Linked DNA regions of Bombyx mori. The protein of the gene in region 1 purifies or fractionates together with the protein of each later gene. This does not show direct contact. Links are inferred from orthologs where the notes say so. Each region holds a gene or a part of one and is shown on either strand. Other genes may lie near its edges. The genes, in order: Golgi phosphoprotein 3 homolog sauron, Rab11 and Rabb.

Region 1 (4,078 bases):
CCTTAATGGTAACGACATTATTATTGCAAATTATTTATAAACAATCAGCTTTACTGTTGTTAATTGGCAGGTGTGTATTGAAGTAGCTGGTTTTAATAATAAAGGGTTTTAAATAACTAAATATCAAAACATTATTATTTGACTTACCTTTTTAACTAAACGGCACTTAACGACATTATCTGTGAGAGGGTGTGTCGTCATGTCAAATAAAAGAAAATTTTGTTTTTCTGTTGTTAAAACCCCTTTCTCAACCAGATTTTTAGCCAATCTTTCGCGTACGTTCTTTAACTGGTATTTCAGTTTCATTGGATTCCATGTTTCACCTAAAAATATTGTCCATCTACATCTTTAAAACTCATTTCCATATATTTTCATATAAATAGGCCACGGCCAAACAGTGAAGTATAATTTCTTTTATGAGGTGGCTATTGATAATAAAGCAAATAAATGTAATATATAAGAATTTAAACACTTTTCCCCACCTATTCGCTGGTAGCCTAAGGTGCCATTCCAGCTTCTGGCAGAAGAGATGTTAAGGTGCCAGAAATTATGCTTGAATTTTGATCAGTAGGCAAACCCTAGTAAATATCCTTGCCTTGGAAAGCAATTGCGCCAAGCCAATTTGTTGTAAAATAAAATTAAATCTGTTATTCTATTTAAAAAGATTTATTGTTTTATTTTGAATAATTTTTAGGAGTTTTAATCTATTCAACATTTAATTTAACCACTTATTGGTATTATACTAAAATCTACTGCCAAGTTTCTAAACCTGCCTAGAGCTAAAATCTCTTAGAAATATTGACTAACATAAACCATAGTTTTTTCTCAAGATTATAACATACTTATTTCCAATTCTCAAAAACTGTGAAATTGGATCTATTGCCCTCCAAAACACAAAGTTACAATTCCTGATAAAATTGCATAACTTAATTTTCACAACACATAAACTCTAAGCTCTTGGTAAATGTCATATTTGTTGCACAACTGTAACATTTGAAATCATAAATATTTACATACCACTCAGATATTCAATCCAGCTTTGTACTGTTTCTGGAGGGTCAGTATCTTTCATATGTTTCAGAGCTTCATCTAGCAGAACATCACCGGTTAAAGTATCTAAAATGTTTTTATTTTATTTTGTTACAATGTAATTTAAGAAGAGCTTGTTGATAGTGAAATAATTAATTTTGTTTGCTTATTAGAATTTGAAATTGCTTTAGAGTATCTTGCACAACAAGTTTCAAGAACCATTATAAATTATTATGTGTAAATGTATCAAGGTTAATAAATAAATTATTATTATTAATTATTATTATTATTTTTAAATAATTTGCTTCTAAATATAAAAGAAAATTAAATATTGACTATTTCTACGAAAATATTTTATCAATAAAATAATGTTTGCTAATGTATTTTTTAAATGTTATCAAAATTAATTTCAATTCAAGCTGATACTTTAGTTCTTTTATAGTTAATTATTGATAGCTTGTTTTTTTAAATAATTAGTAAGATTGTTTATTTTCGTCTGTCACAAAAAATCCCCTGTTAGTTCATCATTATCTGCTCACCATATACTAAGAATAATAGATGGTTTTGAGGTTGTGTAAGTGTGAAAGATTACAATTTTTTTTTAAACATTGAGGACTACTCAACATCCTTATGGCTCATTTGATGTTATGTGGTTGCTATTTAGTCTAAGTCTTATAGCTTATAAATTTTAATTTCTAGAAAATATATTATGTAAACAAAACTTAGGATGTAGTGATTAATTTTTCAGACAATTTTCAAATTTCAATATTTGTAATTTGGATGAAAGAAAATTAAATTGTCAACTTTTTTACTATATTTATACTAGGTTAAAGAAATGCATTTTCTGGAACAAAAAGGATATTCTATGTGAGAAAATATAGCTTTAATCAATTTAGCATTAATAGTACCTTTAGCTTCAGTGTTGATCAGTTGTTAATGAGTACTTTAGAATATTCAAAATTTTATCGTCACTTTTAAAACAGATATATGGGTTTGTTAATTAAACTTGAGCAGTAGTCACCTACCTGACTTTACAATCACTTTTCTAGACAACAAGCCTTTCCTACGCATTCCAGCTCGCTCCAGTTCAAGTCGTCCTCTTAAGCCCAGTTCAATTAGAATGCATCCTCTTAGACCACTGGATATGCAGTCATTCCAAAATGATGTATAACCCTGAAACGGTAGAAGATGAGCATGTCACGATCTTTAGACTGCTGGAATGCCATTGTATTTATCAGATCAGTTAGTCATGTAAATATTCACCTCTTTATCCTTTAACCCTAACAGTAACACTTCTTCCATTAATGTCAATTTAGTTTCCTTGGAATCTCCGTCATCATAATTTTTATCATTTTTCTTATCATCGTTGTCGTGATTTTCTTTCTGTCCGTCTGTGTTACTCTCCTTTATAACATTTCTTCGTTGCACTAAACCCTCAGTACGGTTCATATTCTCATTAAGTTATATTTTAAAATGCTAAAACTAATTAATTTCACAAGAAAGAACTATATTTATATCGAAAAATTGTAAATGAATGGTCAAGTTGACGTTTACGTTGCGACGTGATGTTGTTGTCGAAAACATGGCCGACTATACGTTCCTTTTCACCAGAACCATTCAGTGTGTAATTTTATGCATCTTTGCAAATATTATTCAAATCATTTCGATTGATTGATTTACTAGCAATGTGTCGAATTAAATGAATTTGAATACCTTTTAGAAATTTTCATGTATTTGTATACTGCACTTGCAAGCTACAATACTAAGAAAGAACTCAACTCGGATAGCCAGAAATTGAGTACAATCTCGAGTATCCAAAGAAGTCGAGTACCAAGCTGAGTACTTGGGCTGCGACTTATTTTACTTTATTGTAATTTACATTGAATTTACTTTCAAATCTTCAATACCTAAAGCTTCCTAAAGGGTTCAGAGTGATGCTACTATACTGTTGTACAAACCCCACAGAGAGGTATTATTTTAACGAGTTTTTATGTGCTTGGTGTGTACATATGTATCTTTGAAAGTGACTTTCACTCAGTTTAAAGCTTTGGATTTAATTTAAATTCGTATAGTTATCGAGAATCGATGGCAATAGAGTAAATTAATAAAATTTTCCCATTATCGTGATCAGGTTCTTCAGTATTAACGACAGTACGGACAATTAAAAGACAGTTGTGCCACTTACTATGCATCGCAGCGCCTGCTGTCTTCTTTGGATATTCTAGCAGATTCCTTTTCCGGAATCTAAAATTAATTTCACGTTAAAACCCCAGTAGTCACAGAAACTATCATCAGATAGAAGAACTTGATTTGACAGGAGGTGTGGGACTGTGATGGTGTTGCATTGGATGAAATGGTTAGATTACGAAATATATTGTAGAAGGATATAATAACCTGTTTTCACATAATAATATATTGCACTAAAAAGGTGATGCTTCGTTACTAAAAATAAATGCTTAATAGTTTAAGAAACATTTTATCTCTCCCCAAGATATCTATTTTGATGAAAGACCGATTATGTGGAAGAAATAATCTCATACTATAGTTTATTGGAGAATATATTTGATGTAGTTTCATGTGAATAGATTAATTTAATCTCGGCTAATTCCTCAGAGAATCTGCAGAGACTTTCGTAACTTACATTAAGCGATGCAGTTTATAAATTCAGAGATCGTAACACAGTCCCCGATATCCAAATTTTTGAAATTCTGACACCATCTTCTGCATGTACGCAAACGTACTTAAGCTATATCTGGTGTTTAGAAGTCGCGACCCAGTTACACCCAGTTTAGCCGAGGTTAAACATGTCGATAAAGTACAAATTTTTGACCAGGCGCAAAGTACAGAAAAAAGATAAGATCACTTTGTGGTTCGTCTGTATATTTTTTACCAATGATCAAAATTCGATCATGATCATTGAAATCCAAAAATTTTTTTTTTTTTCATTTTTTTTTTTGATATAGTCATTTTGAAAACAAAAAAGAGACTATTTTTAAATATTATACATAAAATTGTGAACACTAAATGTCGTTCATGGCATCTCCACAAA
Region 2 (3,738 bases), on another chromosome or scaffold:
GGTACCCGCCTGCGAGATTCGAACACCGGTGCATCGCTCAACACGAATGCACCGGACGTCTTATCCTTTAGGCCACGACGACTTCAAAATCGAAGGCTATATCTTGTTGTTGTCCACCAGGTCGACGGTAAGACCATAAAAGCTCAGATATGGGACACGGCCGGGCAGGAGCGGTACCGCGCCATCACGTCGGCGTACTACCGCGGCGCGGTGGGCGCGCTGCTCGTGTACGATATCGCCAAGCACCTGTCGTACGAGAACGTGGAGCGGTGGCTGCGCGAGCTGCGCGACCACGCCGACCAGAACATCCTCATCATGCTGGTCGGCAACAAGAGCGATCTCAGACATCTTAGGTACGTCTCTAGTTACGTCCAATCTAGACAACACTAGCGAGCTCCAATCTAGACAACACTAGCGAGCTCCAATCTAGACAACACTATCGAGCTCCAATCTAGACAACACTAGCGACCTAAAGGATTAGACGTCCAGTGCATTCGTATGTAACGATGCGCCGGTGCTCGAATCCCGCTGGCAAGTACCAATTTTTCTAATTAAATACTTTCTTAGCAAATGTTCTCGATTGACTTCCACAGTGAAGGAATATCATCATGTAATAAACATCTAATCTGCAAAATTATAATTTGCATAATTACTGATGGTAGAAACTCTTGTGAGTTCATACAGGGAAAATTAAGTAACCCCGCCAACATCAAGACATGAGATCGAAATAAATCACTCCAAAATTCTAGATAATCCCTAAAGGCATTAGTTTCCGAAATATGACAAGTTTGTTTTCTTATTTAAAAACCAAACTTCATTGGAATTCATACTCATTGAAATACAGAAACAACTTGTCATCTAAACATCCGTGATTTTAGATGAGATTTCCACTTATATCGTTATCTGCAGTCTCTGTACGAAAATATTTACTTAAAAGATTCTAAAACAAATACAGCAGCTAACATGAAGGTCTAATAATATAGTCTAATATAATAATATGGTTTTTTAATGAATCTTTTTAGTAATGTTTAATTATTTTTTTGGCTATATGTCTGGTCAGGGTGTGTTCAAGTATCACGAAAGCAGAGTCAGAGGGCGAATGTTTATTTTCTTTCTTTATACGCCTACAAAGAGAGCGGCGTTTATTATAAATCTTATGTAAAATTAAAAAAATAAAATATACATTCGAGTATTTACTTAATATTTAATATTCGTTTTTTAAACATTAAGAGTAATTCAATAATTGAAAGTTTGCTTACGATACCGTCCAATGTTCCCCCTCAACCGATTTTATTAACTGTGTTATTTATATCACACATATTCCCAGTGGATGGTATAAAATTTCAAGGGTAATAAATATTTGACAATAAAGAGATTAGGTGTGGTCAAACATATTATGTTCCCATTCATTTCTAATATACTTAAGTATTTTCATTCGATTAAATGAAGATAAGCACAAACAATGAAGCCAAATAAAAGGTTTTTTTTTGCTTAGATGGGTGGACGAACTCACGGCCCACCTGATGTTGAGTGGTTACCGGAGCCCATAGACATCTACAACGTAAATACTGCCACCAACCTTGAGATATGAGTTCAAAGGTCTCAGTATAGTCACAACGGCTGCCCCGCCCTTCAAACCGAAACGCGTTACTGCTTCACGGCAGAAACAGGCAGGGCGGTGGTACCCACCCGCGCGGACTCGCAAGAGGTCCTACTAGCAGTATCACTTGATCCCAAGCGGTCCCACACAGCTAAGTGTTACGGTGCGCGTTCGCAGGTCCATCCCGACGGAGGAGGCGAAAGCGTTCGCGGAAGCCAACGGACTTAGTTTTATCGAGACGTCGGCCCTGGACTCTACCAACGTCGAGCCGGCCTTCCAGAACATTCTGACCGGTCAGTACCCACGAGTGACGTAGTGCTTATCGAACGTGCTATATAATTGTGGCGGAGGACAGTCGTGCTCTTGAAAAACCACTTCGCAATTTCGAGACATGCTTAGGTACGATGAAATGTACATTTGTACTAACTAGTGGTCACCCAGTCGAAATTATTTGAAATTATATTGAAATTAATTGAATTATATTTGAAATTATTTGATAATTATTTGAAATTAAAGTTTGAACAGTATTATTGGTTCTATTGTCAAAGACTATACTACTTTAATCACAAGACTACGCTATATACAAATAATATTAATCTATTCAATTTGAATAACAATAACAAAAGTTTGACAATAAATGAAGGGTGGTATATAATATATGTGTGTTGTGTCAAATATATGGTAGTGTGTGCAACGTTTTTTTATATTGATTTAATGTATTTTTTTGCATAAATATGTAAATATTTACACTCTGCACTCCTTCTCTATATTCTCTGCTAACTGACTCGGCAGACTTCGTAGTGCCTGAATCGATAAATAAAAGACCTAAACTTTTGTATAATATCAAGTTAAAACAAACAAAAGGAATCCGTCTGACGGGAGGGAGACACATCAAAGGAAAAGCAAAATTGCTATTTTTATTTAATTCCGAGCATTTTCATATTATTATTTATCTACCTTTTAAACCTTCTCTGGACTTCCACAAATAATTCAAGACCAAAATTAGCCAAATCGGTCCAGCCGTTCTCGAGTTTTAGCGAGACTAACGAACAGCAATTCATTTTTATATATATATATAGATCTTCATAAATTTTGTGATTAATGAAATTAAGTTAGTTCACGGGGGTCCATTTTAATTCTTATACTTTTAATAATTTTAATAGATTACGTACATAGTGTTCTGTTTGAATATAGGGCGTTCGATTGGCTATGATGTGATACAATGAATGACTCATTAAAATATTAGTGAATATTTCGGAACATCGATAGAATGAATATTACATTGTAATGCAAATTAGCGATACCGTTACGAAATCGTTCGCTTTGCTAATGTCAATGAACGCCCACACTATGATGTCATATTATATGTATTCATATATTAGCATTGTTTGAAGGTTAAAGGGACGCACAATTTTAAAATGAACATATTATCGTAACTTAGTGTTCAATATATCGCACCCTTAGAATTATAGAGACCCAATTCGAAATTTTGGATTTCGAGTTTAATTAAATGGACATGTATTTTTCACTGGTGGTAGGACCTCTTGTGAGTCCGCACGGGTAGGTACCACCACCCTGCCTATTTCTGCCGTGAAGCAGTAATGCGTTTCGGTTTGAAGGGTGGGGTAGCCGTTGTAACTATACTGAGACCTTAGAACTTATATCTCAAGGTGGGTGGCGCATTTACATTGTAGATGTCTATGGGCTCCAGTAACCACTCAACACCAGGTGGGCTGTGAGCTCGTCCACCCATATAAGCAATAAGAACATTTAAAAAATATGGAAATGGCAGTGCAAGATAGAGGGGGAAGCGGTCGACCGAAAAAGACATGGATGGAGTGTGTGAATGACGATATGAGAGAGAGAGAGAGAGGAGTGGGTGTTGAGATGACGGCTGATAGAAGAGAATGGAAGAGAAAAATTAACTGTGCAGACCCCGCCTAGTGGGATACAGTGGAGAAAAAGAAGAGACTTTAATTAAAAAATGGACCTAGAACTACCCTTTTCAGCGACTCTTAATAATCAAACGACCAAAAATAGCTAATAAAGAGACAAACTTATCCATCGGTCTCTTTCACTCCGTCCCCCTCCTCTACGTCTTTTCGGTTTGAAAACTCTATTCGATGTGTTCAAATCAT
Region 3 (4,501 bases), on another chromosome or scaffold:
AGCGGAAACACAAATCGAAAATATTCGACCTGTGAGGAATGTTCTCGACAATTCTAAGGATGTCGTATCGACTATAAAAGCGTTGCAAAGATGGCACGCAGTCAATCAGTAATCGGAACTACCCGAAGCGAACCAGCGAACGGATCCCTGAAGCGAAGCGGAAGCTATAATTTTTATACCAAATTTAAAAGAGATGAGCTTGCATGACACCCCTATTGATAAATATTTGTGCTTTGTGAAATAACATCAGCTATCAGTTTTAGCAATGATGTTTACACAAGTGGAACACATTGTTGTACTATGAATTGACCGAAATGCTGTTGATTGGGAGATTCTTTAGATCTTTTATTACATATGTTTCTTTATGTTAACAACTAGTCTACAGGTTACCAGATCATAAAATACAAATGTCACTCAATTTCACAATGAAACATGCTTCTCTTAAATTTTATTAAAACACAAACAAAAATTGCACACAAAGTAAATGATCCAGACAAAGAATCAAAGACAACATGTAGAGTACTACTCATTAATTATTGATTAGGTATTGTGCAATAAGCATTACATCAGTAGCAATATACATACATATACATATGTAGTGACAAACAAAGCTCAAATGTGAATGTGTATTCATACAGTAGCTAGCTTCAACCACTTTCAGTCATCTAAAATAATTGGTTACAAAGTTACTTTACAGACGTATTTATTCATTCATAACTTACCTTAGCTGTACTAAAGTCGACAACCTTTTTAGTGGTTAAGTCACACTTGTTACCGACGAGCAGTTTGTTCACATTGTCACAAGCGTAACGATCAATCTCCTCTAACCACTGTTTCACATTGCTGAATGAATCCTGTAATGGAATATATATTTTTTTAGAAAGTTTTTCTTTGATTTAAAAAAAGGGTAATCCTGATATATGACCCATGAAATAAAACTAACTAGTTAGTAAGCTGTCACTTTAGAAAGTTTGGTCACAATATTGAACACTTTAGAGATCTTGGTTACAAATAAACTTACACTTTTGCTTGTAATCTATTGTTTGACTGTTTTATATATATATATTACAATTACATAAATCAATCAATCAATACAAAAAATTATAATGCTTCAATTTAAATAATATTAAACGCAAGGTTATAATAATGTTGTCTTCACATTATATTTTTATGTTAATAATACTTTTTTCCAAATGAATAAAAGATGAGTTTTTTTAGTAAAATTTGATGTGCCAAACTACTAATCATTGACCTTAACTATTATATTTTGATGTACTCTACAGCTTCTGTAAATCTCTTAAATAGTTCACAATGAATTTTCAAATGATGAGCATCTTTTTTAATAGGACACTATTACTAGATTTTCTCACAGAAAAATTCAAAAATTTAATCTTATTTGAATAATAGTCATATTAATCTTAATGTGTGCAAATTTATTTATATATTACCATACATTGATATGGTATCATTGCTCTAATCTAATGAACTTGCAAATTATCTTAATAAATACCATTCATAGAGCATATATATTTTTTTTTAAACTATATATTATTTTCAACCATGAAATGTCTTTTTCTAAATGTGTAATAGTTATAATAGTTGTAGTAAGGAAATAAAAAGTTATAAGAAATACAAAACGTAAAGTCAACTGTGTCTAATAGTTAAAAAATCCAGTTCCATATTTTTAATATTAGTTCAAATTTTACAAGTGAAGCAAATTGTAATTTTTTATCAACACCAAAAATATTGAACAGTATAGATATAGAGAGGTAGGAGGAGAGGTATAGATTAATATGATTCACTGCATTGATTGTTTACACTTCAGTGTTTTGTTTGGAGAACTGGATCAATGCCAATTTTTTTTATTTTCTCATTTATTGTTTGCATAAACAATTTTCTAATTTATTTAGAAATTTTACTATGTACTCCAAATGAAAATACTAGATTTTGTAATTATTAATAATGGTTTAGTTTACATTTGAATTTGTGAATCTTCTTTGTGCAATTTAGATGTGTCAAATGTTGGTTCTTTGTTTTCTTTGTTTAAAACCATAATCTTTCGAGATTTTTTATAAAATACTTATTTTAAACATTTATTTTAGTATAAAAAAGAAAATAAACAATGTTTTTTTTGTTCTTAAGATGTGATATTTTATTCTGAAAATATTAGTGTAGGATCATATAATTACCTGGTCTGTGCAATCATATACAATGATGATTCCATGTGCTCCTCTGTAGTATGATGAGGTGATGGTTCTAAACCGCTCCTGTCCAGCTGTGTCCCATATTTGTAACTTTATTGTCTTGCCATTTAAGTCTACAGTCCTAATTTTAAAGTCCACGCCAATAGTACTGATGTAGCTCTCGGTGTACGTATCATCAGCGAATCTTAGCAACAGACATGATTTCCCAACTCCAGAGTCACCAATCAGGAGTAGTTTGAATAAGTAGTCGCTGTAATCAATAATTGAAATATACTTTAAAACAAATACTGTGCGTGTCAAGGGCAAATCATGCAGTTTGTACTGGAAGAATTATTGATGTCCTTAGGAGGCGTAACTTCTGTATCCTCAAACAAAGGAACGTCGTATATTTTTTGACAGAAGTGTACAAGCTGTAATTGAAATCCAGGAAATGCGATGATAAAATTTTAGATCAAATACGCCATTCACGATACGAATGACTACGTTTTCACTATTACTATAGTACCTACCACGAACACAATGACTCACCCCCTTCATCACAATATAGCTATTACTGTAAATTAAAAAACTATATCTTATGGTGTGAATGTAGTTCGTAATATTGTAAAAAATGAAGCAAATTTTATAATGAGGATACAGAGACGTGATATTTGCCCATCCTTGTTCATGAAATCGCCATGTTACAGATGTAATACTCACTATTCTGGATTCATTTTTTTAATTTTGTACTAGTAATTGTTTTTCACACAATTTAGTTGTCGAATTTATCGAAAGCACTTAAGTTCTTTGTTTCTAGTACTAAATAGCGAAAAAAAATTAATTCTACGTAGGATAATGGCCGCCGAACGAAACACCCACTGACGTAAGTCAGATTTAAACAGGAGTGCCACTTGGCAAGAATTAATTTGCGTTCAAAAACTATTTTTTTTAGGAATCGACTAATCCTTTAGTCGATTTTTTGTTTCTTTTTGCGTAGGGCAGTCAGTGCTCATATTTAGCAAAATGTAGACCACGGAAATGTACATAAGGTAAAGGCCCCAATTTTAACCACTTACTCTAAAATGTAAAGTTCTTATAAAATTGTTAATAAAATGAATGTATGTTGGTTGAAATATTACTGTTTCAATTATTATACTATTCATTTTTATATTTTTCAAGTTTTGTCGAAGTATGTTAATTGATTTTCTTGGTGAGAATGGGTTATTTATTTCACGTCAACAATTCACCATAAGTTTAGGCTTGAAATTTATTAGTCGTCGTGGCCCAAACAATAAGACGTCCGGTGCATTCGTATCTACTGATGCAACGATGTTCGAATCCCGCATGCGGGTATCAGTTTTTTTAATGAAATACATACTTAACAAATGTTCACTATTGACTTCCACGGTGAGGGAATAGCATCGTGTAATAAAAGTCAAGCCCGCAGAAATATAATTTGCATAGTTACTAGTGGTAAGGACCCCTTGTGAGTCCGCAGGGGCAGGTACCACCACCTTGCCTATTTCTGCCGTGAAGCAGTAATGCGTTTCGATTCGAAGGAAAGGGCAGCCGTTGTAACTATACTGAGACCTTAGAACTAATATCTCAAGGTGGGTGGCACATTTACGATGTAGATGTCTATGGGCTCTAGTAACCACTTAACACCAGGTAAACTGTAAGCTCATCCACCCATCTAAGCAATAAAAAACTAAAATAATAATTAATTATTAATTGACTAAAATCCAACATTGTGCTCCAAAGATTGCCTTATTTTTTATCGAAATGTTTTTCCCAGGGTATTTACAATATTTACAAAAAGCATACATTAAACGAATTGAGTTTAATAAATTATCCATTACATATAGAAGCAGTTTATGAGCACTATTGTTTTTTTTCGATTAGGTGGGTGGACGAGCTCACGAGCGCACAGCCTTTAGGCCATGACATGACTAATATATCATGAGTTATAATTTGTAATTAAATAATAAGTTAATCATTATAAACCGTTATATTAGAAACGGGTTTAGTCATCATTCATCGTAGACACCAAATATAAAAAAAATACTATAAGTTTCACATATTTTATTGAATATACCACTTTTCAAACATTTATTCAATATCTTACCAAAAAGCTTGCTTTTGTTTTTTCTCAGAAATTATCATCATAGGTAGGTACCTAAAATTTGGTTTTACATTATGACTGCACAACAAAATGCTTAAATGCTTTCAATGCCACATTTATAACTATAGTGGTTAATGGACAATCGTTAATTATTTCTACATAATACGATTGTAACAGGGAACAGTGTTTCCTAATA

Evidence for each region.
Region 2: the proteins of Golgi phosphoprotein 3 homolog sauron (region 1) and Rab11 purify together in Drosophila melanogaster (affinity purification with western blotting; 3 studies listed by BioGRID, with this or other methods). This does not show direct contact. The link is inferred for Bombyx mori from reciprocal best matches to the Drosophila melanogaster genes sau and Rab11.
Region 3: the proteins of Golgi phosphoprotein 3 homolog sauron (region 1) and Rabb purify together in Drosophila melanogaster (affinity purification with western blotting; 3 studies listed by BioGRID, with this or other methods). This does not show direct contact. The link is inferred for Bombyx mori from reciprocal best matches to the Drosophila melanogaster genes sau and Rab1.

The regions. Positions count from the first base shown.
Region 1 is NC_085111.1:10,440,827-10,444,904, reverse strand, and holds the start of Golgi phosphoprotein 3 homolog sauron, read right to left. Parts: upstream 2,801-4,078; 5' UTR 2,479-2,800; coding exon 2,293-2,478; intron 2,203-2,292; coding exon 2,055-2,202; intron 1,117-2,054; coding exon 1,018-1,116; intron 324-1,017; coding exon 148-323; intron 1-147. UniProt on the Drosophila melanogaster protein: Phosphatidylinositol-4-phosphate-binding protein that links Golgi membranes to the cytoskeleton and may participate in the tensile force required for vesicle budding from the Golgi.
Region 2 is NC_085112.1:15,253,561-15,257,298, forward strand, and holds part of Rab11 (ras-related GTP-binding protein Rab11), read left to right. Parts: intron 1-120; coding exon 121-353; intron 354-1,777; coding exon 1,778-1,893; intron 1,894-3,738.
Region 3 is NC_085131.1:10,116,302-10,120,802, forward strand, and holds the start of Rabb (small GTP-binding protein), read right to left. Parts: upstream 3,018-4,501; 5' UTR 2,918-3,017; coding exon 2,904-2,917; intron 2,455-2,903; coding exon 2,190-2,454; intron 855-2,189; coding exon 723-854; intron 1-722.